Linked DNA regions of Lonchura striata. The protein of the gene in region 3 binds, or shares a complex with, the protein of the main gene of each other region. Links are inferred from orthologs where the notes say so. Each region holds a gene or a part of one and is shown on either strand. Other genes may lie near its edges. The genes, in order: DRC10, DRC8, DRC5 and DRC9.

Evidence for each region.
Region 1: DRC5 (region 3) and DRC10 share a complex: the UniProt entries of both Homo sapiens proteins name them as parts of the nexin-dynein regulatory complex. The link is inferred for Lonchura striata from reciprocal best matches to the Homo sapiens genes DRC5 and DRC10.
Region 2: DRC5 (region 3) and DRC8 share a complex: the UniProt entries of both Homo sapiens proteins name them as parts of the nexin-dynein regulatory complex. The link is inferred for Lonchura striata from reciprocal best matches to the Homo sapiens genes DRC5 and DRC8.
Region 4: DRC5 (region 3) and DRC9 share a complex: the UniProt entries of both Homo sapiens proteins name them as parts of the nexin-dynein regulatory complex. The link is inferred for Lonchura striata from reciprocal best matches to the Homo sapiens genes DRC5 and DRC9.

The regions. Positions count from the first base shown.
Region 1 is NC_134620.1:2,573,128-2,580,724, reverse strand, and holds the start of DRC10 (dynein regulatory complex protein 10), read left to right. Parts: upstream 1-4,586; 5' UTR 4,587-5,651; coding exon 5,652-6,239; intron 6,240-7,454; coding exon 7,455-7,597. UniProt on the Homo sapiens protein: Component of the nexin-dynein regulatory complex (N-DRC), a key regulator of ciliary/flagellar motility which maintains the alignment and integrity of the distal axoneme and regulates microtubule sliding in motile axonemes.
Region 2 is NC_134605.1:31,772,290-31,780,108, reverse strand, and holds the start of DRC8 (dynein regulatory complex protein 8), read right to left. Parts: upstream 3,005-7,819; 5' UTR 2,796-3,004; coding exon 2,771-2,795; intron 2,645-2,770; exon of another isoform or gene 2,600-2,644; coding exon of another isoform or gene 2,575-2,599; intron 1-2,574. UniProt on the Homo sapiens protein: Component of the nexin-dynein regulatory complex (N-DRC), a key regulator of ciliary/flagellar motility which maintains the alignment and integrity of the distal axoneme and regulates microtubule sliding in motile axonemes.
Region 3 is NC_134605.1:29,952,855-29,960,266, forward strand, and holds the start of DRC5 (dynein regulatory complex subunit 5), read left to right. Parts: upstream 1-4,411; 5' UTR 4,412-4,604; intron 4,605-7,412. UniProt on the Homo sapiens protein: Component of the nexin-dynein regulatory complex (N-DRC) a key regulator of ciliary/flagellar motility which maintains the alignment and integrity of the distal axoneme and regulates microtubule sliding in motile axonemes.
Region 4 is NC_134612.1:17,894,484-17,902,426, forward strand, and holds the start of DRC9 (dynein regulatory complex protein 9), read right to left. Parts: upstream 3,013-7,943; coding exon 2,990-3,012; intron 829-2,989; exon of another isoform or gene 794-828; intron 1-793. Other genes in the region: RPL35A (large ribosomal subunit protein eL33), read left to right, coding at 3,640-3,650, 4,920-5,072, 5,747-5,891, 6,711-6,734. UniProt on the Homo sapiens protein: Component of the nexin-dynein regulatory complex (N-DRC), a key regulator of ciliary/flagellar motility which maintains the alignment and integrity of the distal axoneme and regulates microtubule sliding in motile axonemes.

The DNA.
Region 1 (7,597 bases), on a different chromosome or scaffold from region 3:
TTTTCAGAGTATTTAAGTATGTTCTTGTCCTCCTCCCACCTGTGATAAATCTGCCCTGCTTCCTTTCCTCTCCATGGACAGACCCTTCCTTCTTGATCTCAGTTTTTGCCTGCTGGGTTTGTCCAGGAAAATGAGGATTTGCCTGTTCACCAGATGAACTGGATGATCTTTAAGGTCCCTTCCAACCCAAACCATTCCATGATTCACTGTGACAGCTGCTGGACAGGAGAGACAGGGAACATCTCTGGTCGTGCAGGAACCAGTGCCAGGCTGGTGTCCACCTGCACCAGCTGGCTTGGTGACTGAAACCCAAGAGATGGATTAAGATGAACAAAAAAGGAATGCTGAAAAGCAAAGAGTGTCAGAAGTTTTTAGAGAAGAGCCTGGAGGTTGTCACCTAGGGGTGACCCATGCTGGCCACCCCTGGGGTTTTCTCTGTGGGAAGATGCTGTGGGGAAAGGAGTGGTTTGTAACCAAAGAGCACCACCGGGGAGTGGTGGTCCCCAGGTGGCTCCTGGCACGCAGCAGCACCCAGGGGGAGGGGGGGATGTGTTCTCGTCCTTGCCGTGGAGGCAGAGGGGCTGCAGGGCTCTAACAGAACTACTCTGTGTGGAGGGTACCGAGCTCAGCCCCTCTGAGCCCCTCCCAGTCCTCCCGTGCTGGGAGGAGCCTGTCACCAGCCTCTTCGGTCTCCCAGCTCGGTGCTGTCTTTGGTGCCAGCATTCCCATGGACAGCCAGCCCTGGCATGCAGCAGCAGCCTGGCATGAAGAGCCTCAAGCCTGGGTGATGCCTGTCCCCCTTTGCCCTCTCCTTGCCACCTCCCACTCGGCAGAGGCAGGAAGCAGCTGGCTTTCACCTGGGAGATGGAGGCTGTGAGGCTGTGACTTGCTGCAGACTCACGGCATCACAGAATCATTAAAGTTGGAAAAGCCCTCTGAGAGCAATCCAGCCATTCTCCCAGCACTGCCAAGGACACCACTGACCCCTGTCCCCAGCTGCCATATCCACATGGCTGCTGAATCCCTGCAGGGATGCGGATCCACCACTGCCCTGGGCAGCTGTGCCACCCTGACCACCCTTTCTTTCCATGAAAGAAATGTTCCCAAAATCCACCCTGAGCCTCCCCTGGCCCAGCCTGAGGCCGTTCCCTCTCCTCCTGTCCCTGTTCCCTGGAGCAGAGCCCGACCCCCCGGCTGTCCCCTCCTGTCAGGAGCTGTGCAGAGCCACAAGGTCCCCCCTGAGCCTCCTTTTCTCCAGGCTGAGCCCCTTCCCAGCTCCCTCAGCCTCTCCTGGGGCTCCAGCCCCTTCCCAGCTCCCTCAGCCTCTCCTGGGGCTCCAGCCCCTTCCCAGCTCTGTTCCCTGCCCTGGACACTCTCCAGCCCCTCCAGGCCTCTCTTGTCATAAAGGGCCCAGAACTGGACACAGGATTTGAGGTTTGGCCTCAGCAGACAGATTAGGACCAAACTCACACACTCTGGTCTCAGTGCCCTGACAGCCCCAGGGACATTTTCCTGTGCCACAGCTGCGTTCCTCTGCATTCCTGCTCCTGTCACCCAGCTCCAGCCTGCTGCACTCAGAGCCAACCCAGCACCTCCAACCCTCCCATTTTTCCTGTTGGGTCCTTTAGTTCAGAGCTTACACCAACCCCAGCACCCTTGTCCCTTTGTACTGCAGGGACTCCCTGGTTTCTCTGTGCCCTGCCTGGGCCTTCCTGACAGTCTCTGGGGGCCAGGGAAGTGCAAACTCCTTCCCAGCTGTTCAGGATACAGATGCCATCATCCCACTGACAGCATGACATGGGAATGAGGGAACAGCAGCCAAAGCTGCAGCAGGGATGTGGTCAGGGATCAGTTGTCCCAGTGGAGTCCTCCAGGGCTTGGTGTGATGCCAGAGCTCCATGCTGCCAGCAGAGCACAATGTAAGGCTACAGCCAAAGGACTGTGGCAAGACGGGACTGTCCTTGCAGTGACAGGATGGGGTGCTGTTGCCTGCAGCAAGGCTTCATTGTGTGCTTCTGCCCTTTCACTATCATTTCACAATCAGTTCAAATCATCCCCCTCCTCAATGTCCCTTCCCTGGTCTCACACAGGGATGGGTGGCAGCAGGAACAGGGAAATTAATTGGGCAAACCAGGCTGGGGTGGATCCTGGTTTTCCAAGCAGATGGACCATCCAGCTCCCACGCTCTGAGCTGTGCTTCCCTTTGCTGCAGAGGAGAGGGATACAACACCTGGAGAGGGGTTTGGGTGGTGGGCGAGGCCAGCTGGGGCCAGGGAAGTCTCTGGCCTTCAGGTATCTATCACAGAGTCCTGCTGTTGGAACACAGCTGGACTCAGTCTGTGGGGGACAGCGTGCCCAGGCTGTCCCAGGGGCTCCCGGCTCTCCCTTCCCTGCTCGGACATGCCCCACATAATTTGGATTCTTGGGTACCTCTGGCTCAGGCAGTGATGCAATCTTGTGGGCTTGAGTGCAGAGAATTGTTTGAGGATAGATCTGAGGTTGTTCTGCATCCTGGATGAGGTGGGATTGACGCAGGTTCGGTGATGCTTCATCCAGCTCCCAAAGTGACCCAGTTTTCTTCCTGGCTGAAGAGCTGCTGCTGGCCTGGAGCAGTGTGGAGCTGCAGGACGAGTCAAGGCTGCTCTGGACATGTGTCATCACCCCCATCTCCTCCTGCAAGACGGGAATGTCTTAATTACCCAGATCCAGGAGGGAGCAGCAGTGATCCAGTCTTCCCGACTTTAGAGGATGTTCGGATGTGACCCACGGCTCCACCCCTTTCCTTCCTCTTTCCCTGGATGTCACAAAGCCTTGCTGTCCCTTCAAGCAGGCTGTGCACACCAGACACAGGGGACTCTGGTGACAGTCACTGGCCAGTTGATGCCATCTCCAGCTCATGGCTGTCAGGAAGTCCAAGTCTGCACTTCTTGGAGAGCAGTAGCACATTTCAAACAAAGCAATCAGGACACTCCTCAACTTTGAAAAGACATTCTTTTTGTGATGGATTTAATTCCAAAATATCTGCAGCACATGTGGCAGCCTTTCAGGGAGGGTCAGGGATCCCTTCTGGAGGCCTTGTCAAGACAAGCAGCAGTTCTCCATGTCTCAAGGGCTGTTCTCTGTTATGTGATGTGCTCTGTGAGGACACATCCAACTGACAGCACACCCCTCTGGAGCCTCAGATCACAGCTCTGCTCTGCTCTCGGTCATAGCGCAGCCAGGAAATCACGGATCTTCTGCATTTAGATCCAGTGTGATCCCAGTTGCTGAATTAGAGCTTGAGAAGGTCTTCCTGGGCAGGTCAGTGCTTTTCCTGGAGGCTACGGGGCAGCCTGGCTCAGACTCACAGTTCCAGCTGCCCCTCCTTCCCACAGTGGGCTGGGCATGCCCCAGCTTGGGGTGGACCCAGACCCAGAGTCACTGTCACACTCAGTGCCATTCTTGATTCGAATCAGTCCTTTGGCTGAGCCACTCAGGGCAGAGGGAACCCACATGGAGGTGACTGCTCCAGGTAATAAGCCTGGAGGAAAATTACTTGGGGGGGCTGGAAATGGTGCCAGATGTGTCCAGGTGGGCAGGAAGGCCAAGTGTGCCCTCATCCATCCTCACCAGTGCCACACCAGAAGGCCCAGCCCTGGTGGTCCCACTACATCTCCCATCACCAGTCCCTCATTTGCTTTGTGTAGGGAAGCAGTTGGGAATGGGCGAGCGGAATTATTCCTGGACTTGGACACTCCTTGCACAGCAATAAAGGAGCTGCTCAGGCCAGGTAAGGCTGGGACCTGGGACAAGGCTGCCTGTGAGGGCATGGCCACCCCGCCGCCGTGGTGTCCTGCGAGGGACAGAGCATCGCTGCGAGCGTGGCCTGGAGTTCAGCATTTTGCCATGTTTCCTGCTGGAAACCAAACCCTCTTCTCCTGAGGGCATCCATGACACTGCCTGGGCTGAAGGTGAAACTTTTAGAGTTCACTTGAGTTAACGTAATGAATTAAGTATTTATATTCTAGCTTGTAGAGTTATGTGTTAAATTTTAACTTTTTACTTAAGAAACTTCTGACATGGTACAAAGGGCATAAGAAAATGCAATTTTCTGAAGCTTTATTCTGCCTATCACTTCAAAGGCACGGTGGAGCGCAGCATTCAAGGGCCATCATGTTCTTTGCCGACGTCAGCAAGTCACAGGTTAGCAATTAAGTCAGCCTGTACAATATCAGCATCTTCATCAGCTGAGGCTCATTATCACTTTTATGGCCCAGTAAAACCAGCCACATTAACAGCGCAGCTTAGGGGAACTCTGTTGTGTTCTAATGTTTCAAAACAACCCCTTAGGGGCTCCTGGACATACATTGGGCTGACCCGCGCGCGGCAGACGTGACCTCGGCAGGATAAAGTTTATTTTCGGGTTACTCGTCGTGCTCTCGGGAACACAGATCTGGGCAGCCCGGAGGGAAGGAGCCGCCCCCTCACGCCTCACAGACCCCGCCGGCGCCATGACAGACCCCGAGCCCTGCCAGTCACCGCCGCAGGGCTCCTCATTGGACAGCGGCACTGCCAATCAAACGACAGGGGGCGGGGCCTGCACGGCGCCGGGGAGGCCCCGCCCCCTCGCGTCGCCTGGCAACGGGAGGCGCAGACGGCGGGCTCGGGATCGGGACCGGGACCGGGACCGGGACCGGGACCGGGATCGGGATCGGGATCGGGATCGGAACTGAGTGCGCTGCAGGGGGTGGAGGACGCCTGGGGCCGGCATCCCCCAGTAACCGCCTCTTGAGACACCCCGTCCCACCGCGGGATGCTCAGGGCCGCTGGTCCCACAGATCCCCGGATCCTCCCGCACCGGTCCCCAGCCGCCCGCCCTCGCACGGGGGTCCTCCCCACCGGGAATCACCGCCCCGACCTCTGACTGTTCCCCAGTCTCTGGATCCTCCTGCTGCCCCACATCCACACCGGGGGACCCTTCATTCCCTGTTGGCCGCCTGCTACAGCTGTCCCCATCTCCTCCGTCCCTCCTCCTCTTGCCTCTGTCCCTGCCAGTCCTGCCAGATCCCCTCTCCCACCTCCTCCCTCTGACAGGGACAGGCCTAGAAGGGTAGAGGTTTCCCATAGAGATTTCCCACTGGGAACCCTACCCTTCCCTCCGGGGTGGCCCCAGGGCTCTCCAAACCCTCTCCACACCCCTCTGGGGACAGCAGAGCTGCAGTTTGTGCTGCTCTACCTCAGAAGCTGTTGGGCGCTTCCCCTCCCTCCCCACCCTTCAAAGCCAGGAATCCATCACCCCCTTCCCATGGGTGTTTGACAGCTGCTCTGGGACAGAGACCAGCTCTAATCCACAACTCCATGTCCTGACCCCCTACCCAGACTCAGAGAGAACATCAGGTTAATCTCAGACTCTCATGTTTTCCCAAATTACATCATTTCTCTAATGTTGTCACTATCTTTTCCTTTTAGAGAGAAAATCAAAGAAGGGCGACTGTGACAGCAGCAGCACAGGAACCTCCATTTTCTTCCAGAGTCTAACCTTGTGTAAGAGCTGCTGTGTCCTTTCTAGACCTCAGACCACCCAGACCACTAGTGTTTAACTGAATCCATGGCATCAGGGGATCCAGCTGCATTCCAAGTATCCTCATGAAACAAGAAGCCTTGGTGAAGGCATGGCAACTCCAAGGAAGGCAGGGATCCCATTAGGTTTCATGAAGGTGTTAGATCCACGCCAGCTAAAACCTGATAGCACGGAGACAGAAAGAATCCTAACTGTCTTGGATGAGGCCATTGTCAAGCTGGAGATCACCAGGTTGATCCCACAGATTACTGGCTCCCTGGAGAGGTATGCTGGGATGCTGGGACCTGAGATCACAAGCCGCCTTTTGGAGCACCAGAAGCTTTCAATGGAAATACAGCACCTGCTCACCAGCCCTGGAGATGAGAAGAGCATAAAAGCTGCAGAACAACGCCTGAAATGTTCCCTAAGAAACATCCTGAGGCTCTTCCTAGCCAACCCCTTGCTTTACCATGGGCTGAAATACGAAGTTCGGGTGAGAGAGGCACCAACTGATGTGTTTATCAAAGCCTTTAAGGAGTTCCGGGATTTCACACTCGAGAGGCTCCTGACCACTCCTGATGAAGAGAAGGAAAAGATGCAATTCATGAAAGACATTTCCCTCCAGGTTGAGAAAAACACAGAAACAATCTCAGCTCTACAGGGAGAGCTGGCAGGAGTCATCCAGACTCGAGATGAGGAGGTATGACCTTGTGGGAATGTGTTTTCCAACCAAGTGGAAACTTGCTTTTTACTGGAGCAAAACCTTGCTAACTATAAACCAATCCCTTTATTGCAGTTCCTAAAGAGCAAGTTCCAGAAATCCTTTCTAAACCAGATTAAAATTTAAAAATAATATTTTTGTTGTAAAATATAAGAAAAATGCTTATTTCATGCTTGATTATTTTTTTTTAAACTCGAATTTGGCATGTTTTGAACCTGTTGTCACCAGCCAACTTAAACAATGTAAGTGCCTGAGTTCCAGAGGAGTGGCAGGACAGGCACAAACTGCTGTGGTGGTGGTATCCTGGCAGGGTGACAATGCCAGCTGCTTCATTCCCTGCTGCTGAAAGAATGAAAAATCATTACTGGGAGAGATTTCTCTGATTAAAATCCATTTTTAATATTTGCTCTGTCTTCACTCTTGCTTAAAGCCAACATTTCTGTGACTCCAGACTCTTAACAGCTGCCTTGGAGCATTTGTGATTAATCAGTGATTATACAAATTACATTAATCTTTAATTTTATCTGCAGCTGAGGTACAGATAATTGACTGGGCACTTCCCAGGCACTTTCTCAACTTGTGTGCCAAGCCAAGAGCTTCTGATAACAATCCTTTGTTTTCTACCTGGGTTTTTTTTTCTCCTCCCTGCAAGAGGGGTTGGCTGAGAAGATTTTGCCCTGCACTCACTGCTGGCAGAACCAAGGACCTGCTTTCCCCTTTCCCTCTGCTGCTTGGAGTTCTGGGGATCGAGATTTTTATGTGCAATTTGGCAGCTTGTTTGGGACATGGTGAATAAATCTGTTTCACTGATCCCAGCTTGGGATTTCCCTCCCTGAGCTGTATCCCCCAGACAGTCACTCAGAGCCTGATCCAGCTCTTGAGGGAGCCACAGAGCTACTCCAGGGAAACTGTTTTGGCTGCTCCTCAGGTCGCTGTGCCAGTGGGGCTTGGGATGGTTTGTTCACTCTGTGCCTTTACCAACAGGTTCCCAGAGGAGCCAGGTTTCCAAAGCTCCAGTATGAATCTGGAGCTTCACTCCCTCAGCCAGCAGTGGCAGGGCCTTGGCGCTACCTGAGCCAGCCCCTGAAGGTCCCTTCTTGGATCTCCTCCAGCTTTGCAATGTTTTTTCTTCTCCTGTCCACCTTATGCCTCAGGGGCGTTTCCCAAAGGTAATCCTCTTGTTTTCCGGACTAGGTTAGCAGGAAGGACAAAACAATCGAAAACCTCAAAACCAGCATGGAAGATATGGCCAAGAACTGCAAGGCTAACATCCAGCTGATCATGAAGGAAGGGGAAAAGCAGCAAAAAGAGGATAAGGAAGCCTCCCAGGACAGGTG
Region 2 (7,819 bases), about 1.8 Mb from region 3:
CCTCTCACTGTTTTTCCTTGTGTACATCATGTATATCTGTAAAACATTTAAGCAGGCATTTCAACTTTGACGAAGACTGAACTTGGAAATAATAGGACCTAAGGGAAACCTTTCCAGGAAAGCTGGTGGAATTGTAGTTCTGCAAAGCACCGAGCGGAATACCCTAAGGACTAATTATTTGACAATACAACTAATGGTATTATTTTGAAGCATAATAAAGTTAAACCTGCAGCTTGCATAGATGTGGAGTACTTGCTGAAGGGAAGCACAATCGATGTGTGAATCCAGCATTGGAGAATCCTAATTAACCCTCTAACTGCTATCAGCAGGAAGGCTAATAGCAATTCTGAAATGGTATAAGCGACTTAATCCTAAGGGATTGCTTCTGTTAATGAGACACTGACTGTTAGCTCTCCTCAGCCATGTTTACAGTAATGAGGCACCTTTGTAAGGCAATAAACAACTGTTTTACCTAATAGCAGGCTGGGATTCTCATGAGTGACAGAAGTTACTGTCTGAGTGACACAAGTTTTTGTCCTCATCCTACAGATAAGAAAAAGTCCAGTATGTCACTTCCCATGATCCACTGGTTGGGCCAGGGATGGAGTTTATGGGTCAAGGTCATTCAGGATGACGCTACAATTCTCCTCTAGAAGATGACATTTGATGCTCTACTGACATTAGTGTTTTATAGAATGTTAAAAAACATGAAGCATAAAAAACCCTCAAGGGAGTCTGTCTTTAGTAATATAATAATGAAACTTCTTACAAAGTATTCTCATTTTGAAACTACAAAAAGAAAGGCATTAAAAGTCTTTAACTGAGCAATCAAAAACCCATGACCTTCCTTCTCCTAGAGTTTCTGGCTGTGGCTCGACAAAATGGTAAAAATCTCAATATTATACATATGGGAACCCAAAATATAAGGAGCCAGGCTTCCCAGTACTACTTCCCTCATCTCAGATGATTCAGCAGACTTCTAGGCTATCATTTCTATCCTCCTCTGCCAGTACTGTGCCTCAGGTGCCTTTGCACCACTAGAAAGATGTAAAAGACAGGCTTCCACAAGATTAAACAAAAATTCTTAAAAATATTTTAAAAAACACTTTAAGAGCAGTGATCAAGGAAGCTACATCTTACTGTTTAATTTCTTTCTTCAAGATATCTATGTTGCAAAGTGCAGCTAGAAATACTTCTACAAAAATTAAATTAGTCATTTAGTACCATCCACGGCAACTGTTTATACAAGACTTTTCTGCAACATGCATTGTTTCCTAAAAATATTAAATATTCCATTGATTAATTATCTCAACTACAATGTTCAGACTTTGCAAACTACTGCAACACACACAAGTTTAGTTACAGAAAGGATGGATTTCAGAAGTAACAATATTGTGGGCTTTACAGAAAATATGTTTTCCTTGAAATGATACTTGAATATCCTTGAAGAAGGAATTACCTCTAGCCTATAAAATAGAATTTCTGGCAACACTCCCTAAAGTAGAACACAGTGGCCTCTAGAAATAAGCCATGGTGCTATCAGCAGCACAGATTACTTTTTTCTGTCAGAGAGTGCCCAATGCATCCAGAAACTACTGCGAAGGGCCACAATCAGCCAGCAGCAGGTTCAGCCATCCCAGCTGCCCTGGCAGCCACCCCATGCCATGACAAGGCAGTCAGCCTTGTCACCATCCAGCTTGGGCACACCCTGTGTGGTGGCAGCAACACCACAAGGCTGCCAGCACCAAGAGGCAGCTGTGGCACCCCTGTGGCAGGGAGTGCTGCAGAGTAGCCCCTACCCTGAGGCAAGAGGCAGTGGTGTGGCCACCCTGAATGGGATGGGAAGTCAGGGAATGCATCTTGTTTGTGTAAATATGCACGTGTGTGTTCTTTCATATACACGTATACACACACTCATGCACAATGTGTGCGAACAGATAGGTGCACATACATATCTAAAATCACAGAATGAGCTGAGCAGGAAGGAGTAAGGATCATCGAGTCCAACTCCTGGCCCTGCGCAGGATCACACCAAGGGCCTGAGAGTGCTGTCCCAGCACTTCTTGAGCTCTGTCAGGCTGGTGCTGTGACCACTTCACTGAGGAGCCTGTTCCAGTGCCCAGCCACTCTCTGCATGAAGGATTCTCGTGATACACAACCTAAACCTCCTCGTGATACACAACCTAAACCTCCTCGTGATACACAACCTAAACCTACCTTGGCACAACCTCAGGCCATTCCCTCGGCTCCTGCCACTGGACGCCAGAGGAAAGGTCTCGGTGTCTGCCCCTCCTCTTCCCCTCGTGAAGATGTCGAAGGCCGAAATACAAACACACACACGCACAAACCCGTGTGTGTGCGTGTGCGTGCGTGTGTGTGTGCGTGTGCACTTCAGTATGTATATCCGTGTCTGTGTCCCGCGGTGAGCGTCCCCCAGCACCAGCTCCGGCCAGAGCTCCCCGCGCCGCCGCCCCTCCCTCGCCCGAGCCCTGAGGCGGGCGGGCCTCACTCGGTGGCGCCCGGCCCGCGGTCTGTCCGCACACCCGCCATGGGGGAGCCCGGGCCCGGCCTTACCCCTGCCCTTCTCCTGCTCCGCCATGGGGGAGCCCGGGCCCGGCCTTACCCCTGCCCTTCTCCTGCTCCGCCATGGGGGAGCCCGGGCCCGGCCTTACCCCTGCCCTTCTCCTGCTCCGCCATGGGGGAGCCCGGGCCCGGCCTTACCCCTGCCCTTCTCCTGCTCCGCCATGGGGGAGCCCGGGCCCGGCCTTACCCCTGCCCTTCTCCTGCTCCGCCATGGCCGCGGCGCCGCGCTGTCGCCATGGCGCCGCGGCCGGGCCGGGCCCTCTCCTCGCACCGCCGGGCTGAGCGGGGGGAACGTGTCCGAGCCCCCGTTCCGCGCCCGCCGCCCTTGCAGACAGCGATCCAGCCAGCCCCTCAACCAGCGGCAAAGGACTCCCGTTTCTCTTAAAAATACAGCTTTCCCCAGCGATTGCGGAGATTTCCTTGCGTCTGAGCTTTAGAAAGTGAAAGAACGTTTTATTCTAAATGCCGTCACGCCAAAACAGCTAAAATATTCTGTCTTAGTGATATTAAATAAAACTCTGCGGTTTAAATTTAGCTGTGAGTTTTAGCAGACAGGCTTGCGATGCCTGGTTCTTCTGACTCTAAAACAACTGTGAAAGTAGAAAAAAATACAAAAATTAATATTCTGGCAAGATGCAACCATATATTCCTACAAAATAAATATTTATTAAATTCCTAGAGCTAAAACCCTGTCCTCACTACAGCAGGTGCTTGTTTGTCAGGTGTTCAGTTTTGCAAAGCCCACATGGATGACTCCTCCTCACACACTCAATTTCACCTCTCAAACAAAGAGTTAATGATGTTCTCAATATTCATGGAAGCCTGAAATTCACAAAAACACATGGAGCACAAATAGGGCTTCTTTGTTTATAAAAACGATCACTTTTTAATAATATTTTAACATTTGCTATTTGCCTTTCAGCCACTTATTTTTGCATTTTTTATTGAACATGGCTCAGAGTAAAGAGGATATAATAGATACCCAAGACAATACATCTTTATTCTGTTGGGAAAACAGCTGATTATGCTCTCTAACAAAGTTGATCCCTCTGAAAGGTTACCTACCGACTTGAGCAGTTTATTAAAGTAACTAAATATTTTAAACTACATGTTTGACTACAGGAGTACAGATTTGTTTCCTCTCAAATTGCTAACAGAAATTTTATAGAGAATAGCATAGCAGACTAATTTAGAGGATGCAGCAGCAGAAGAAAAAAACCTTTATCTTTCAGTCTTACAGGGGTCCTATTTCTTATTCCTTTAACCACTCCACAAAGAAAACTTGTCTTTCCTGATTATACACCTATGATGGTGAGTCAGTCACATGTTTGAAGCTGAAGAAAAGTGCAAACTACATTGTTTTGGCAAGGATGGACCTCTCTTATCTCTTTCTTCACCTATCTCAAATGTAGAATTTCATGTTCTTGAATACTGTACCCAGCATTAGATTTCTTTTATTATTTTCCAGATCATTCATCATAGGATACTTATAGCTCTTCTACAAATGCGACACTAATTCAAAGTATTTAATACACAACCCTAAAAAAACCTTCATAAAATCCTGTTCCTGTTGTTTGAGTTTTCATGACAAATCCATGCCCAAAATATGAAAAACTCTTAGTTTTAAAATAAATACAATATTGCATATTGCATATTTATTGAGATTATTGCATGTTCATAGTAGATTTTGAATGGAAGTGAGTCACTGCAACTGTGACATGGTAAGACAGTAACTGCACTTGGGCATCCACCTCTAACATCTTCCCAGCAATTTCTCCAGGGCTTGCACTTGGCTTTCCTCACAACTCCTTCCTCTTTGACAGGCACTAATCTTTGTTTCCTCCAAGAGGGATGGTAAGAAAGCAGTGTGTAAATGCTGATGAAGAAAGGGGAAATCATGAAGTGTACCACAGCTATGACATGTCATTTACATCACAACATCTATGTCCTGTTGCAGCCACTGACTGGCCCTCATGAGCTGTTAGAATAGCTCCTTGGGGAAGGTGTTGTTGGAAGTATAGAACTGCTCAAACCCTGGATGTTCATATCAAACTTGTTAAGTTTTATAACTTTAGCCTAGCTGCAGAATCTTCACTGTCTCAGAGCTCATACAAATTTCAACAAACAGCATTTTGCACTGTCCTGCCTGTGCTGTTGAGATTCCACTCAGGACAATTACTGTAAATCAAAGTGCTTCATTTGCATTGTCCACTCTAGCCTGGAGTTTCCTTTTTTTTCCCAGTAGTTTGCAGTCAACCATCCTTATTCTCCCAATTCCTAGCACATCAGGCTTTGGTGTCTTTCCTGTCTCCAGAAGCAGAACAAAATACTGAGTGGGAAAGCAGTTCAAAATGAGAACTCACTGCTTTAAAATTTCCTGGCAATGTATCTTGAAAAATCTGTGTAGGGAAAAAATGTTAACAATTATAATGCAGATCAAATACCTCATATATGGACCTGAACCATATAGCTGTTTCCCTTTTAACTTAATGCACAGATACCTCAAACCAAGGGTATGAGTGGGCTGAAACAACTAATCACATTTTGGCACAGACAAGTACAAAATGAAACCCAGAACTACTAATTCAACAGCTTGAAATATCAGCTGCTGCATGCAAGATCTTTACAGAGCTCCTCTGAAGAGAACATACCCTTTTAAAATTGTGATTCTTCATTTTAAAAATGTCAGAAGATATCTCAGGAAAATTATAAAATAATCCAGCATCATTGATTTAAAGCGTGAATCCACTGAAGTCTCATAGACATAAGGTTCCCTTACCTCCACTCCTAATTTCATCCCATACATTCTTCTCAGCTATCAGGGTCCTATCACACATTTTGCATATTTTCCATGCATATGTTCAGAAATGTTATTCAGAAAAAAAAAAAAAAAAAAAAAAAAAAAAAAAAAAAAAAAAAAAAACAGGTCTAAAATGGAAGAAGTGACATTAAGAGAGAGCAGTTCAAGGAGGTATAATAACAAAAAGCTACAAAGCTGTATCCCCTCATGGCTTCAGGGCTGCAAGCATCTCAGCACATCTTTGCTCCAAACATTTGCCAAACATCTTCACTATAGGACACCCTCTGTGGGTCCTTGAGGATCATGTAAGTGAAGGCACAAAGAAGCCTACTCATTTATCCTTCACAGAGAAAGTAGGTGGGTAATTATGATTTTCTGGCAGGACTCTTACCTATAGTTCCTCTGCAGCTAAAGGGGTACAGCTGTGCTGTTCAGCAGGCATTTCCATGTCACTGTACCCTTTTTCACCAATGTGACATGAATGACCCAAGTGTACCTTCATTCCACTCTTCCCCTGGGATGAGCAGTGGACTCCAGTGACTCAGAAACAGACTCTTCAAAACAGAGTATTAGCTAAACACTAGCTGTTCACGCAAATGATACACAGTAACCAGATAAAAATGAGAAAAAGACTCTGTCATTCCTCGCCTATACTGTATCTTTCCCTACAGAATTTAGGTAAATTACATGAGAGCACTACCTCGTTTCATGTGTAGGAGGGGAAGACAGTTTCTCCTCCGGCTTGTTCTCTTTGTAACTGCAGGCTTTGATCCCATGCTTGGAGCAGATGAAGAGAAGCCTAACAGAGCAGGCAGAGACAGATATACAGACGTGCCCTCCATTATTTCCTGACCTCTTCCAAGCTGCTGGTATATTCATATTAACCTTATCTGTCATAATTTTGCTTTCTTTCAAAAAAATTGTTATTCCTGTTCTCACCTACAAAACAGCAAAAGGTTCATAAATTGTACATAAAAGTGCATAAATTGGCATAATTTGCTGTACTTTTTATACAGGTAATAAACCTAGCAGCCCAAAATCTGACCTCTTAAATAAAATGTCAGCGTATGTATGATTCCTTGACACTGTATACAGAGTTCACCAGTGCTAAAAGGGAGGGATCCAAGTCTAGCCCTTCCTTCCCTCCTGCTGGCTGCACATCTTCCTTCTACCTTGTGCTGGCTCTGCCATTCACTGAGTGCAAATATGAGTCACAGAGGTAGTAAAAATACAATCCATCAAAAAGTGAATAGTGTTCTGTCCTCTTAAGACACCCAGAAAAGGATCTGACAAGCATCTTGATCAGCATATCCAGTGTTTTATTTTGTTTTCCTGCCTTTCCCTCAGTGCCAATCTCCCTGAAAATGCTCGGTCACTTCCCCGTCCCCTCCCTGGTACCCTGTCCATCACTCGGCTCCCCATCCCATTCTTCCCGAATCTTCTACCCTGGGCATCGTGGGATTGGATGAGGGTCCGGGGTCCCTCCCTTAAGTTTCCCCCATTGGTTTTTGTATCTGTCTATCCTTTCACCGTCCACGCCCCCAAATCCCCCCATTGGTCAATGGGCGTTCCCTTCCCCTTGTTACCGCCCCGGTCTTTAAGATGTTGGGAAAGCCTCGAGGCCACTTTTGGCTGCACAATGCTCTGCAGCTCCGAGCTCCCCGGAGCCTGGATTAAAACTGAAACTGTCTCCCCAGCCTTGAGTCGACTCCCCCAAACAAGGCAGACAGTGAAACTTTTTGCCTCAGCCGCTCCCCGACTCTCCTCGAGATCCAGGGGGGTGACCCCCGGCTGCTGACTGTGCCTCTGCCGGGCAGGGGAAGCCAGGGGGATTCAGATTAGTACAGCGGCAATCCAGGAAGATGGACCCTGCAATTAGAAGAGAGGAAGAAATAGAGGGGAAGGCAGGAAGGGTTAGATGTTTTTTTGGAGGGAAAAAGCTCAGAGGCTTTCTGAGTCCATAAGTAAAACACTGAAGGAAGAAAGGGAAAATCAGGTTTGAAGGCTGCTGATAATAGCAGCATCTCAAACCCTTCTCAGACCATGGGATGGCTTTGGAACTGTCCTGGCAAATATCTCTTACTGCTCACGAACAGCTACAATCCTATGGATCTTTAGCTCCTCCTGTCCAGCTTCAACAAAGCTGCACTTGAAGAAAAGTGACTGAACACACATTAAAAATGAGTTGCTAGGAGAAAGGAAGCATTTCTTTACTGCAGCAATATTCTTCAATGTCAAGGAGCTGCTGGCAGTGCTCGGCCTCTGGGACTATGCCTAAAGACCTGCAACAGAAAAAAGTTCTTTCTTTTATGTCTAAGTGCCAGGATACTGTTCCCCGTCCAACCCAGGCACAGAAATGGCCCTAGAGATCCCTATATTTTAACCTTCAGACTTTATTACCATTAATTATATCTGGAAGTGAAGCCAGGATCCCCA
Region 3 (7,412 bases):
AATGGGAACCAGTAGGTGCCTGACCACAGATCACAGATCCTGCCTGCAGGAAGGTTTTTGATTCAGTCAAGAAAATATAGAGGCAAATAAACTGAAGTTCAGCTTGACAAATGGGGCAGCCTTTTACCTCTTGCCCTAATGCAAAATGGCAAAGGTCAGTGAAGGGAGGGGGTTCCCATGGTGGAAAGTGTTACCAGCTGCTAAGCTGAACCAAGTTTTCAGGGAGTGGTATAGTCCTTGAGGCACTGTGGCTGTCCAGATGGGTAGGACAGCACAGAGGTGGGGTTGTGAAGTGCAGCCTTACCAAGCACCTTAGACAAACACTAATGCAGAGGATATCCTGCCCCACAGCCAGAGTCTGGGATGTACAAGAAAGATTTAACATTTGCATCCATCTACTTGGAGGTAATTCCTAGGAGGCACAGCCTCCCAGTGGATGAAGAAAAACTCCTGCACTATTTATGCAGTATTTTTGAAGTAACGAGAATGAAGGAAACCTTCCTGCTTCAGAGTTCAAGCCAGAGGCGCAGTGGTGTGAGAACAAAACCATCTCACTTGTGCAGGTCATATCCTGATTAACCCTATGGCAGCTAGACTGTGCCCTGTGGAAGATGGGGACCAAGTCCAGGAATATTCTGGGACTGGTTTTGCACCAGCAAGAGAGGAAGGATACCCCTTTTCACAAATCTTGGTGTGATGCATGATGATGGGGATGCCAATCATAGCAACAGGACAGATTCCCTGATTATTTGTTCCTCTGTTTTGTTTCTTTAATTAAACTCAAAGAGAGAGCATCCAAGCCAGCTGCACTCTCAGCCTGTGGTGGGATCATTTACCTCACCCCCCACAGGGCACCTGTGTGCCACTGGAAAGGCCAGGCTGAAGGGAGCTGCTGCAGCCTGTCAGCTGGCAGGCTCTGCCTCCTGCCCTGTGCCCAGCATCCACAAGCAAGGCCTGTGGGATGGCATGGGGAGATGAGCCTCCACTCCTGCTGTCAAGCTCTGCTCCCCACAGAGCCAGTGCAGGCAGCAGATGGGCTGGTCTCTCCCTGCCAGTGCAGGCAAGGAGGCTGGAAGGTAGGAGGTAGAACCAAATCCAGTCTCATTAAGGGTAATTACCATTCATCCCAGGAAGCAGTAGGAAAAAGAGCCCACGTTCTCCCCATCTATTAATAGCTGTCAGCAGCTGCATGGTTCCTGCCGCAACCCAGGGAGAGCAGAAAGCTTTGGGAAAGCAGCAGCACAGAGAGCATTCTGCTCCCCCATCCTTCAGCACTGGCTGTACAGGGGCAATTTTCCTCCTTCCAGGATGTAATTTGTTTTGCTTCTTCCCCCAGGACTCCAGGAGCTGCTGGCTGCTTGTAAGCAGTGTTTTCCAGCAAAAGCTGCAGGGAGCCAGCCAGAGGAGGGCCTGGAAATAGAGCTTTGGAGCCATTCCCTGCTCCTCAGCATCCTCAATTTTCTGAGTCGTGCCCAGTTTTGGCAACTTTCAGTGCTCCTCATTGAAAGGGTAGAAGCCATTAATGAAAGAGGACTGCACTAGTGCCGAGGACAAACCTCGCTGGCTCATACCCTAATGAATCCCTTTGGTGTCAGAGGGACATCAAACAAGAGGCTCCTCTCCAGCCTGTCCTTCAGCTGTGTCCATGGTTCTTCCCCACGGAGACATGAACCACATCTGACAGATGGAGGTTGCCTCGCTGCAGGCATCAGCTAGAGAGGCTGCCCCACATGGAACACAGGACTCAAATGAAATGATATCCTGGACTGGTGTGGTGACTTCCAGCCATTGTGTTATGATGTGAGGACACTGCAGGCTGCAGGAGATGCACTAGCAGAACTGACCAGGAGGACACGTGGGGTTTTTTCACTCCTTCTACCTCCAGCTGCCACTGCATACAAACAGCTTGCTACTTGCTGCGGGCAGAAAGATCACCAGATGTGTTCCTGAAATCCCTGAAGAGACAGCTGGTGCTGGTGTAACTGGAGAGAAGGAGAGGGAGAGAGAGATTGAGAGGGAGAGGAGAAATGCTTGGCTGCAGGATGTGTTGGTGCCTGGGCAAAGCCAGGGAGGATCATGTTTCTAGTCCATCATGCTGGGACACTAAAAAAGGTTGTCGCCCTACAGCCACAGCTTTGTTTCCAGAACAGCACCTGAATCTTCACATTAGCAGCAGAAGATACCCTGTGGGATGTGTTCCTCCCACACAAGACACTGCAGGACCTGGCTCCTGTCCACTCTCTTTGTTGTGATACACTGTCCTCCAACTCCAGGCAAAGCTGGCAGAGCTGATTATGCACAACACCATCACAGGTGCTGTCTAGGGGAAATCTGAGACCTGGTAGCTGGAGGGATACAGAGGGCACCTGGAGTCTGCTGGTAGGACTTTCGTCACTAGGGCCAGGAAGCAGTACCTTCCTTCATCCTCATTCTCAACTGTCAACAGTGGGGATGGGAATGGAAATGGATGCAATATTTTACCCTGCATCCCTACTCCACAGAATTTAAGGAGCAACTGCCACTGCACACCCCACTGGGAACAGCACTAATGTCTACATTTCCCACTGGAAATAAATGCTAAGGTACAGAAGGAGTTAACACAGCTATTTTTTGGACTGCCACTACTTCTTTTCAGCATATGATCCAATATCTGATTGCATCTATTTTGACAACTGACTGCAATATTGAGCACTGTTGTCTCTGGGAATCAATGACTGGGTAGACACAGCTGAACTCCATTGGACTGTGAAGTCTCCAAAACATGACATTTGCATTATATTAGCCATTAGGTGGGCTGAAAACTTCAGTGTTGATGGCTTGCTGAAGGCTCAGCTCAGAAATTGATCATTGTTATGCAGGTAACTCAGGGGTGCTATTTCTGTGGATCTGGTTTGGCTATCTCCTTTGCAATTTAGGAGTCTGACCAAATGTATGCATGGAAATCAGTGCAAGAGAAAATATCCCTGGCTTTATGTTGCTCTCATTTCTGCTTTTCAAGGTCTCAAAAGCCCTGGAGATGTGTTCCCAGGAGTAATATGGTCAGTGTGAGGCCAGCATTTGTGAAGGGCTTTGCAAGCCTTCTGACTACCCCACTGTGCTGAACACCAGCTTGACTCACAGGCAGTGTCACTGTCTTCTGGGGAGCTGAGTGACAGAATCAGGCCACACCTAGAAAAAGAAGTACATTGCTGCCAAGGTCTAACTTTACATCTTTGAAATTCACTAAGGAAGCCTCAGGGTCTTGATTCTCTTTTTTTAAATCTATGCCTCTTTGCATTTATTGTTTTGTTGCTGAGCCTTTAGGGTGATCTGGGATCATGCTTTTAACATCTTCTTCATGACCAGGAGGTAAATTTTATATGAAAGTCAGCACAGCTTCCTAAAACTGCCAGCTATTATGGGACTTGCAGGACTATCATGAGAGCTGGCACCAGTGTTATGTATGCTCCCACAGGGCACAGGCTAGCTGCAGTCCTCTTGTGCCCAGTACATCAGCATTCCAAAGGAGTGAAAGAAAAACCTGTCTCAGGCTGGAAATGCCCTGGCAAATACTGCAACACTTAGATCTGAGAAATGGGAAAGAGGAGATGCATGTTTTCATCCCCTTGTTTACTCTTTATACTCCACAGCATGATGTGTGTCTTGATGAAGATTCTGGTCTTTCCCCACCTCTGTAGAGGATGCTTAACAGCAGAATGAAAAACGAACAGGTTGAGGTTTGCAGCAGATGGACCAAGATCTTGCCATCAGTGGAGTTCTCAGATTTGCTTTCCTCCCCCTCAGACCTGCCTGTGATGTCATTTTGCCCCAAAATATGAGGCCTTGAAGCAAGCCCACTTTGGGCACAGGCAGCGTACCTTTAGCCATACAAACATGCAAGGAAACGGGTATCTTGAGGATAGCGACGTATTCACCCTTTGAATACTGACTGGTACAAAACCATTTGCATTGCACCCCTTGCCCGGTTCTTTCCGTGATTGCCACAGCAGCTGCTGCTGTTGCCGCAAGGGTGTCCGGGACTTGGGCAAATGTTCCCTCCCCAGCACCCGTGGAGCGTGGTGGTGAGCTCACACATCTCCTCCGTGTGTGCCGAAGAGAGGGCTCCTCCTCACCACGGCACTCACTCTCAGCGGCCGCACGGGGCGGGGTGACGGGGGAGCGCCATCCCAAATCCCGTCCCTCTCCCTTCCTGCTGCTTCTCGCTGCCCCGCACGCCCTGGCAGCGGGCAGGCCCCGTGAGAGCGGCCGCGGGGCACCGCGCCTTGCGAGGGCTTGGCTCGGAGCCGGTCGCGAACCCTCAGCGCGACGGGCACGGGCTCCCCACGAGCCCCACGCGTGCCCGGCCGGGGGTCGCACCCGCGGGAGCCCCGCCCCAGCAACGGCCGCGTCCGTGGCGACAGCGGCGGCGGCGAGCGCAGGGGCCGGGCTGGTCCCGGTCCCGCTCCGTTCCCTGCTCCGCAGCAGCGGGACAGAGCCGGCAGCGGAATCCCCCGCGCCCAGGCGTCGAGAGGGACCCCGCGCGTCTCTCGCCCCGGTGCCGCTCGGCGTGGCCGGGGCTGGGGACGCCCAGCGCCCGTGACCGGGCCCTTCCCGGCGGCTCGCAGGTCTGACCCGCACCGAGGCGGCCGCGCCGATGCGTTCCCGTCCCTCCCGGGCTCTCCGGAGAGGAGATTGGCTGGCAGGAGGGAGCGCAGGGCCGGCATCCCGCGGAGCTGGGCTGGAGGCGCTGGCGGGGCCGCGGCGGTCAGCAGCACCCAGGCGTTCTCCTTGCCCCCCTGGGGAAGGGACCCCTCTCCGAGCCTCTGGGGCTGGCACGGCAGAGGGGCTGCGGTGGGCACTGCTCAGCTCCAAAAGGGCTTTTGTTTTTCTGAGATTAGGGCGGTGGCCCGTCACAGGTCATGCTGACAGAGATGCAGGAGCACAGTTTTGGCCCTTCACCGCCAGGATTACAGTGGAGACATTAACCAAATTCCCAAATGGCCAGCTGGCCTCACTCTGCCCAGTCTCCCGTTACAGACAAATTTCATTATATCTGAAGCTAAATAGATTTCTCATTTGGCACTTTTTTTTTTTTTTTTTTTTTTTTTTAACTCAGAGCCCATTGCAGGTTTAGGATTAGGATACTGTGTTGCAGGCCCAGACTTACCCTGCAACACAGTATCCTAATGCACATTTAGCATTAGCCTTTGAAAGTGCCACAGAGCATGGCAAGTCCCCACAGGTGTTGGTGGGAACAGCGGTGTTAGCCAGACTCAGGATGACTTGCCTGGACTACAGGTAAAGGCATTAAGGTCAGCACACCTGCAGAACAACTGGCATTTGCAGGGTGCTGCTGCAGTGGCATAAGAGCTTCCTCAATTAGTGGGCAGACAGAACTTCAGTGCAAATGCAATCTTGGCTGGGGCATAACCACCCTCAGAAATAATTTATCCTGCTCTTACAAACTCTCCAGTAAGCACAGTGTTTACTGTTGTTCCATTTCTTGGATCTCTGTAATTCTGGTAGGAGCATCAGCCAAAGGTCACTAGTTGCTGTGCAGGTCTTTTTGGTGTTTTTTTTTTGTTTGTTTGTTTTTTTGGTTTTTTTGTTTGTTTGTTTGTTTGTTTGTTTGTTGGGGTTTTTTTTGTTTGTTTTTTGGGTTTTTTTTGTTTGTTTTTTGGGTTTTTTTTTGGTTTTTTTTTTGGTCTCTCTGGGATTTGTTGTGAATGAAAAGAGCAAAAATCTTTTATTTCCAGATCAAGACAGGTTTAGCTGAATAACGTTTGTAAAGTATGTTAGTAGCAGCATAATTTGGTTGTGTGAGTAGATTTCTGTCAGTTCCTCCTGGGGAAGGGAAGTGTGATTTCCTTTACTTTTTTAAGAAGTTCAAGCATTATTTACTTTTCAGTCTAATCTGGGTGTTAAATGACAAAAACAGAAAATTTGCTACATGTCTCTGTTCATTCTGTATTGTCTAATAAAACCTTTTTAGGATAGGTGATTGATGTTTATGTAGAGTGGGTGGGAAGGAGCGTGCATTAACAGTGTTGACTTGGTTTATTGATAGTGAATTATGGCGCTACCTCTGTGTTTAAATACATGCTTAGCAAACCCAGCTCTGGAAAGTGGCTTAGAGTCTCATCTCTGGCTGGGTGAGGCTCCCACAGCTGAGGCAGAGGGGGTGAGCAGTGAAGGAGGCCCTTCCCTGGTAGTAAGGGCACCTGGCAGGTGTGTTCACCTCACTGGTGTGGTGGGAATGGATGTATTTGGAGCAGTGATTCAGGGTCAGACCTGGCACTACAGGCATGGGGTTCATTTGGATGCTTTGCAGCCTTGTTCCTGTTTGCTTTGTAGTGAATGGTAAGTGGGCATGGTGGAGTCAGCTGAGCTGACTTGCTCTGGGGCTCAGATCAAGGGAAAGCCTCTCAGCAGCCTGGGTAGCTCTGCCTCAGGGCAGATGTGTCTCCTGCCCAGACTCTTGGAGCCCATTTGACAGCCCTGCATGTGCCATGGGTTACCCACCCTCTGAAAATCAACCTGCCATCGGTAACCAGGCAATCCCATCATCTGCTGGAACAGACAGGAAATAATACTAGGCCACCAGTGCTGCACGGCTCTCCCCAACAGCTGGCTTTTAATGATTGTTTCCAAAAGGTCAGGAAAGCCATCAGAAGCTCCAATCAGCTGTGATTGGCCTGGGGAACAAAATGATACAGATGCTTTTTGAATAGGACAAAGGACCAAGCAAGGAGAAAATAATTTTCCCAGCCACCTCACTGCCTTCTAGCTGTGTTTTGCCCTTCCATGGAAGTCCGTCGAGCACCAGGAGTTGGGTCTCAGATGGGTCAGTGTGCTGTGGAGAATCAGGTCTCTTCTTTTCCCCTTGAAAGGTGGTCCATCATCATAGCACCTTCCTTAGGCACAAGGACCTTTGCAGGGAAAGAATTCCCAGTATTCTCACAGCTGCCTAACACTCATTCCTTCTCTTTCCACTTCCACCCTTCATCAGATCATGTTCCCTTTTTTATCAGCCTTTACCTTTGTCATCTGTACACTACTGCCTCCCAAGAAATCAGCTTCCCTGCCCTTGGCAACCTTCATCCTCCTGCTTTGGGCCAGAGAATGCCCTGCCACTGCCATCCCCACCCTTTCCTGACTATCCCTCTCAGGCTTGCCTCAAGTGCATTTGAAAAAGCTTTTGCTGACATATTTGCAGCATTAATCATTTGCTTCTCTCTTCTCTACTTCAGCATTTCACAGGTCTCCTCTCTTCCTTCTTTTGCAGCCCTTCCTCATATGCCTTTTGGAAGGGGAAGGAGCAGAGGGAGTAACACTAGCAAAGTCAGCTCCAAAGCTTTCAGGGAGAAGGAAGTGCTGGCAGATGGCAGAAGCACCATGAGCTGGGAAGGCAGAGGTGAAAGGCACAACCTTGT
Region 4 (7,943 bases), on a different chromosome or scaffold from region 3:
CCTGCAAAATATTACAGCCCAACCTGCAAGTATGCCAAGGAAACACATCAGGCACTCCCTGTTAGCATAAGACATGGCCATATTCTATGAATATTAAAGAGGTTTGGATGCAGCTGTGCTCTGCATCACTGGAAATCAGTGATATTTCACAAGCAAGTGTTTAAAAATATACATACTTGCTATAACCTCTCTGAAGCTGTTATAATTTGCCCTCCTCCTTTTTTTTGTTGTTTTTGTTGAAGAAAATCTGTAATTTACAGTTGGACCGTGAAGTTAATTTCACTTGGCAGAAAAGAACCACTTTTCAGTGCAGGTTTATTTGATGTCTGTTCGTATAGAATAGGTAAAACAAACAAATGTAACTCAGATTCCACACATTTATTTCCTGATGTCCCTGTCTGCTGCAGGAAGTCGTTTAATGCAACACATGTTGAAATGTGCTGAGAGAGGACATGGCTCTCCCTGGGGATGGGATTAGAAAGTGCACAGGGATTGCTCCCAGTAAATCCACAGGAAGGGCAGATACCAGGGAGAGACAGAGGTATTTAAGTTAAAGGATAATACTGCTCTGGGTAAAAGGAGAGTAAACGCCCCTAAGCCAGGCAATTATGATGAGGTTTCTAACTCCTGAATGGAAAATACAGAACAGCCTTTCAGCCAAGGTAATGGTAGAGGCACCCTAATTTATTTCAAGAAGCTTGATTAAATCATGGCAGAAAAAGATAACAGCAAAGTAGTGATTCTGAATATTATCAGTATGTTCACTAGACTTGTATTGTTTGTAACCACTTACATCTAATTCCTCTGAGCAGGGCTTTTAATGGTCACCTAGAATGAAGAGGAAAGTGATTTCATCCCTTTGCTTCTGAGATTTTTTTCTCTCTTTTATCTTAATTATAAAAAAAAAGTTTAACAGCTTGAGACAGGAATCTGATAAAAGCATTAACAAAAAAAAAAAAAAAAAAGAAAGGCAAATTATCTGTATAATACACTAAATCCATCACTTTTCTTGTCAACCTTGGAATCAGCTATAGAAGTGGAGATGCAGTATTTTTACATCAAGAAAGTCAGGCAGTGTCTCCAGTCAACAGGCACTAATAAAATATTTTTCAATGCTTTACTCATTTTTATCTTTTTCAGAAATCCATAATCCATATTTTGAATCTAAACAACCTAGGAATAATCTATTACATGTGGAGTCATAAAATATAACTAGTCTGCTAAAAATATGATGAAAAAAGATGTGTTGGGAGATAGCTGTGACATGATTACAGCAGGATTTTTGGAAGAAGAAATAACATGTGCAGCTCTCATAGGAAAAAGAGACTTATTTGGAAACAAAGGAGGATGCAACAGCTTTTCCTCTTTTCTGTCAGCAGCTTCTGACCAGGAGAGAATTAACTCAGGATATTAATATGTTTCAAGAAAGCTGGCGGCTGGAATGTTTCTCTAAAGCCCCTTTGCTGCTTTGCTCCTCCTGTGTATCTTCTCTTACATTCACATCCTTGCTCAGCAGATCCCTGTGCCAAGCCAGTGGGGTCTGGGCTTATGTTAAGTTGGACTTGAGAAGGAAACCACTGTCTGGGGCATTAGCAAACACTACAGATATGAGCTGCTTGCTGTGGATTTTAGTGCCAACACAGTGCCCCTCAGACCATCCACGGCATCACCCTGCATTGCTGTGTTTGCTGAACTCCCTCATTAAACTCTATTAATAATTTTTTTTAAAGTATGTGAAGGATTCAACTTCCCCCATGAGTTTTGGATGACATTCTTTCCCTGCTGATATAAAGGGAAAGAAAAACATATCAAGTAATAATTTTTAAAGCAAGTGTATAAAAGGTCTGGTCTCCTGTTCCTTTGGGGATTGCAACTTCCTCTGCTGTGTGAGAGTCCTGGATGTACATTTCTCCCACCCTGCTGCCTGATAAAGGAAAGTGGATTCAAAAGCAGCATTTTGTGCAGCATTCCTTGTAGTCAGAAGATACTTCATTGAATTCCAGTGATAAAATGCATAGCTGGCAATGTCACATCTCCTTTAGGTCTGTTTGGCAAATGACTGGCGAAGAGAGGTTCTGAATATCCACAGGAGCAGCAGCGGAGCCAGAAATCAACTTCATTTTTACCAAAGAAAAGTCTCTTGGGAAGCAAAATAGGTGTGGCCTTACCTTACACAGCTCTGCCTCCGGCTAGAAATATTAGGACAGCAAGGTGCTCATTTTGGAAAAAAAAAAAAAAAAGCGGGGGGGGGGGGGGAAGGGCAAGGAAAGGAGAGAGGAAGGGGAAGGGAAAGAAAGGGATGAAAAGAGAAGGAAAGGGAAAGGGAAAGGGAAAGGGAAAGGGAAAGGGAAAGGGAAAGGGAAAGGGAAAGGGAAAGGGAAAGGGACCACCAAGATTCCTTAAGGTTTCCCTTCCCTTCACCTTCCTTCCCTTAAATCACTTCAAGCGCTCTGAAAATGCACCAGAATTTCTGGCAGTGTGAGGGAAGTGACAGAAATCGGGATTGAATAGCCCTGACGTGAGCAAATGGGTAAGTACATGCTTCCAGATCTTATTTAGTAAAATAAAGGAATGTGAGACTTGGTTACAGGGATTTCAGTGTCGAAATATGTTTTCTGCCTCCAAGGCGATATCAGAAGTAAACTAAATGCCGAGATGATTAATTGACTCAGGGTGAGAACATCGGACGGGCAGGGCCGGCCGGGAGCCGCCCCGAGCACCAAGGGCTGCTCTCTCCTCCCGCGCTGCCTCTCTTCGGGCTCCGCGGCCCGTTTTCATTCGCCCTGCCTAGACCGACCCGGGCTCCCCTCAACCTCTCACCGGGATCTGCCCTTATTTCCCCCGATCCCGGTCCCGATCCCGGTCCCGGTCCCGATCCCGGTCCCGATCCCGATCCCGATCCCGGTCCCGATCCCGGTCCCGGTCCCGGTCCCGATCCCGGTCCCGATCCCGATCCCGGTCCCGGTCTCGGTCTCGGCCCCGCCCTCACCGGGACGCGCCGCTCGTCTCCATGGCAACCACCGCGCTCGGGGCCTCGCGGGGATGGCCCGCGGGTGCCTGTGCAGCGGGGCTGTGGCCGCCCCTCCTGGGATCGCTCTTGCGGGGATCGCGGACACGGGACACGGGACACGGGACAGGGGACACGGACAGGGGCCGGGCGGTACCTTCCTCAACCCGGTGCCGCTCACTCCGGCAGCGCTCGGGCCGCCCGCTCGGGTCCTGGCCGCGCATTTCCCGGCAGGCAGCGGGGCGCGGCTCTCTTTCGCCGCCATCTTGGGGCGCTGGGGGTGAGGCGGAGCGGGGCCGCGGCCGGGAGCGGGGCCGGGAGCAGGGCCGGGGGCGGTGCCCCCGCCGTAGGGCCGCCGGCGGGCGCGGGGCTCCCGGGGCGCGGCGGACGGCGCGGTTTGGGGCGGGGACAAGGCGGGATGGCGCCGATGCGCGGCGGATGGTCCCAGTGGCGGGTTGGGGCCCTGGGCTGGAGCGGGGCTGAGGCGGCTGCTGAGGTGCGGAGCGGAGGCTGCCGGGCAGCCCCCGGGTGCTCGGGGTCTCGCTGGCCGGGCCGGGTGGAGATGCCGGCCCGCGGCTCACGGCTGTGTGTCGTTTCCAGGCCTGCCGGGACCGGCTCTGCGGGAGGACGCCATGGCCGGGAGGTGAGTGAGGGCCGGGCTGGCGCTCGGCTCGCTGCTGCAGCGCTGTAGGAGCGTTCCTGGGAGCGTTTGCTCAGCAGGGCAGTGAGCGGTGTTGCGCTGCCCAGCGTCCTGCTGGGCCCTGTGGAACGCCCGCAGTTGTGTGTCCCTGCTCTGAAATCTCTTGAGCTGGTTCTAGTTGCTGTTACGGTGTGCCACGCTCTCCTTGGCCTGTCAGTAAATATCAGTGTGAAATTTGTGGGTTTGTTAGCTCAGTGTTTGTTAATCTCCAGTGTGCAGTGGAGCTTTGACATAAACTGTTTCCTTGAGTAAAGGGAGCAACATGTTTTTCCCATGGGTAAATTTTCTGTTGTGCTGCCGAATTTTCTTAAAGGATGTAGGGATTGAGTTCGTAAGTGAAGGGATTAAATGTGAATACTGTGGAGTTGCCTGGAGAAGCTGTGGCTGCCCCATCCCTGGAAGTGTTCAAGGTCGAGCTGGGTGGGACTCTTGAGCCTGATCTAGCGTGAGGTGTTCCTGCCTATGTAGGAGAGTCAAAACTGGATGGTCTTAAATGTCCCTTCCAACCCAAACCCTTCGATGGTTCTGTGAATCCCAGCTTTATGTCCTAACATTAATGTGTGGAGTTTGTCCTGTTGCACGTGTGGCAGGTAGAACTGGATATCCCAGTTGGATCCTGCTGTATCCCAGAGCAGGTGCTGGATGCCCCTGGGCCAGATGTGCTGTGGCTGCTCGGTGTGTGGGACAGGTCCTGTAATGACCTTACATGGGCAGTGCAGGTGTCCTGAAGAATTGCTGAGGAGTTTGTGTAATGTCTGTGCCCAGTGGATGTCAGGCTGTTGCTCTGGCTCCTCCTTTGAGGCTACAAATCAGGGTCAGTTCATACCTTCTATAGCAGTTACTGCAACACGGGAGATTTCATGTGGTGTGTAGAAAAAAAAGTAATGTTTACTCATCAGTGTTAGTAGACATTTAGAAATAATATCTGCTAATGCTGGAGTATTTGAATCTTAGTATGAAGCCAGTATTGTAGTGCCAGGAGTTTATGACAAGCAAAAAGTGTAATATTTTCATAAATACTTCAAGTTCCACATACTCAGCTTTGCTCTGTTCATTGATGTAAGTATTTGCAGTGATTTGTAAAAGTCAGCTATTTCCTCTGCTGATTTCTACTGGTGTGGAATTAGTTCCTGCTGAAAGAGCCTGTGATTAGTTTTTATTTTTGTTATTTGGAAGTGAGTTATAATTTTCAGGTATTTTCCATGTCTTTAGGTTGTGGTGCAAGGCCATTTTTGCTGGCTACAAACGTGGCCTCCGAAACCAGCGGGAGCACACGGCCCTTCTGAAAATTGAAGGTGTTTATGCCCGTCAGGAGACAGACTTCTACCTGGGCAAGAGGTGTGCCTATGTGTACAAAGCTAAAAAGTAAGTAATGTTGTATTCTTGTGCTGAACTAGCCAATGCTTGTGTTGGTTTTGTAAATGCTAGGAGATCATGATGCTACATGATATGTAAGAGAGCAAATGGGATGAGAAACAAGTTTTGCCTAAGACTGACAAAAACTGAAAGTTGGGTGATGGAGTAAATTGAAGTGGGTGAATTTGTGTTAAATACTTTGAACTGTTCAGTTACTTAAACAGTAGAGTGATTTTGTGAAGCCTGGGTGAATTTGTGTTCTGACTTTCATGTGCCCATGTTTGAGCACTGTCTGTCACTTCTGCTCTGCTGTCATTGATAGACACCTTGGGAACAGCTGCTTATTGCTTCCACTTCCTTTTTTTTTCTTGACTGCTGTTGTTAGTGTGCAGAATTATCTTGAATAAAATTGATCAAACTGGTATGTTAGCAAAAGTGTTTTCCAAATTTTTGAGCTTTGTAAGCTGTTAATAGTTGTCAAGCTGTAATTACACCTTTGAAAGGTACAGTGAAAATCCCAGGCTGGGAAAATATCACAAGTAAAAAAAAGTGGACATTGGTCTAGTTAAAGATGGCTGTGGAGCTAAATTATTGAAGTGCTGTAGAGAGACCACATTGTCAGTGCTGGGTACAGCAGAGCTGTGACTGCCCTGCTGAGCTGTTCTTGGGCTCCTTTTCCCCAGCAACACGGTAACCCCCGGAGGCAAACCCAACAGGACACGCGTGATCTGGGGGAAGGTGACCCGCGCGCATGGCAACAGTGGCATGGTGCGTGCCAAGTTCCGCTCCAACCTGCCTGCCAAGGCCATTGGACACAGAATCCGGGTGGTAAGTGGGTTTGGTTTAGCAACAAGATACTTATTGGCAGTTTTTGGGTGCCTTCTAAATTCCTTATAATATGAGGGAACATTTGAACTTTGCTTTTGTTCTGTTGCTGTTGGGTGTTCAGCATGGCTCAGTGACTTTGTTTTGGAGCCTAGAGAGGCTTTTTGCTGCCTTCCTGTGCTGAGGGGGTTTGTCTTGTTATCAGGGGTTTGTGTGCTTGCTCAGGTTGTGTGGAAAGGCTCTTAAAGTTCCAGGACTCGGCTCCTGTCTAAAGCTGCCTTGATTTCTTTTCCACCATCTGTTCTGCATATTTTTGCACCCTTCTACTCCTTTACCTGTTTGATTTTTCTCTTACTTCCCAAATGTTTTAACTGAGAGCAGTGCTGTCCTGTCATGGCCACTTCCACCTGTTCCCACTGTTGGTGTTTTAGCCACAGGGCTTCAGTGGGACTATCCGTTTAGGTCTCTCACCTAGAGTTGTGATGTAATATTTTCGTAGTGATGTTGTCAAAAGGAATACAAGAGGGGTGTGGTCCTTTCTGTCTTTCTCCTGTGCCTTAGAAAAAGCACAGTAGGAGCAGCACAGATAATTCCTGAAATCCAGAGCCATGGGAACTCTTGTTGGTGCACAGGAGGGCTAGTTGCCATGGTGTCTGTGTCACCAGTGAAGTGCTCCTGCAAGTCATTCTCACACCTCTTCTGTATAAACTGGGGATTGCTTTAATAGCAGTTGAAGAGATTCATGGTCTAGATTGTAACTGCAAAACTCATGTTTGAATACAAGATTTCTAACGTGATTCTGTCTGGTTTTGTGTTTTACAGATGCTGTATCCATCTAGGATCTAAATTTTTATTCAAAATAAAATGGAGACTCTGTTTAACTTTTGTATATTTCTGGTTTGATTGCCTCCACAAATTTTGAGAGACCTCTTTCTCAGTAGTATCAGAGTTGACAGCACAGACAGAGACACTAAATCCTGGCAGGTGCAAAGCCTCTCTCACATCAGTAGTTCTGGTAGAATCCCTGATAATGACCCCACCTGTACCTGGCCAGCACGTGTGCCTGTAGCGTCTGCTTTGTGTAAATAATTTAAACACATTTTCATTGCACGGCTCTGTGGTGCCCAAGTGTTAACGCTGTTTTCTTGGCCAGCCTTGTCCCAGCATGTCATGTAGGGCAGTGAGCATCTTCACAGCACTTCCTTTTAGTTTTGCTGAACAGTAAGGTGGTGAAAAATGAATTTACAGTCATGACATGCAAGGCTCAGTTTATCTCTGAAAATCCCCCCAAAATACTGGGTAGTTTAAAGGGAGGTTTGAGGCAGGTACAAGTTGTCATGGTTGCTGCTGATGTCACAGTCCCAAAATGACCTGTGGATATGCTGTGAGAGGAGTTCCACATAGACCAAGTAGTTCCATCATTTTCAGTGCATCCCTAGTCAGTCAGGCAGGTGAGTCTGTTGGCTCAACCGCATCCTGAGCCCACTCCAGTGCAGTCCCTCCTTCCCAGGGCATGAGAGCTTCCTTCGCCCTGCCTGGCCCTGCTGCCAGTGTGTGTCATGGAGCCCTCTGAGTGTTGGCTTTGCAATTCTCCTGTAGTGGGCTGGTATTTCACATCTAATCCTCTTCCTTCTGAAAGAGGTGGAGTAGATGTGTGTGCAGAATACACTATTGGGTAAATCAAAACTTTGAACTGGAATTAAAAAACTTGCCCCAGCTACTCAGCTCTGGTATAAAAATTATTTTGCTGGACTTAAAAGACCTAAGCCTGCTGCCAATGCTGTCCTTCAGAGCCTTTGCTATGGAAAATTGCATTTTTTCAACCTGTGTAGAAAAATTGCAGCTTATGGGATATTGGGCCATGTCAGGTAGGGCTTTTAGTCTTCCACAACTACCAATACATTGGACACATTGGATTCAAAAGAGGATGGATGGGATTTCCAGCTTTAGGTGTTACAGAGGAAGGAGGAGGAAATATAATGAGCAAAGTTAATTGTAAGTGCAGGTTTGTAGGCCTGTGGTCACTACCATATAGTTGGTTTGCTGATGAAAAGG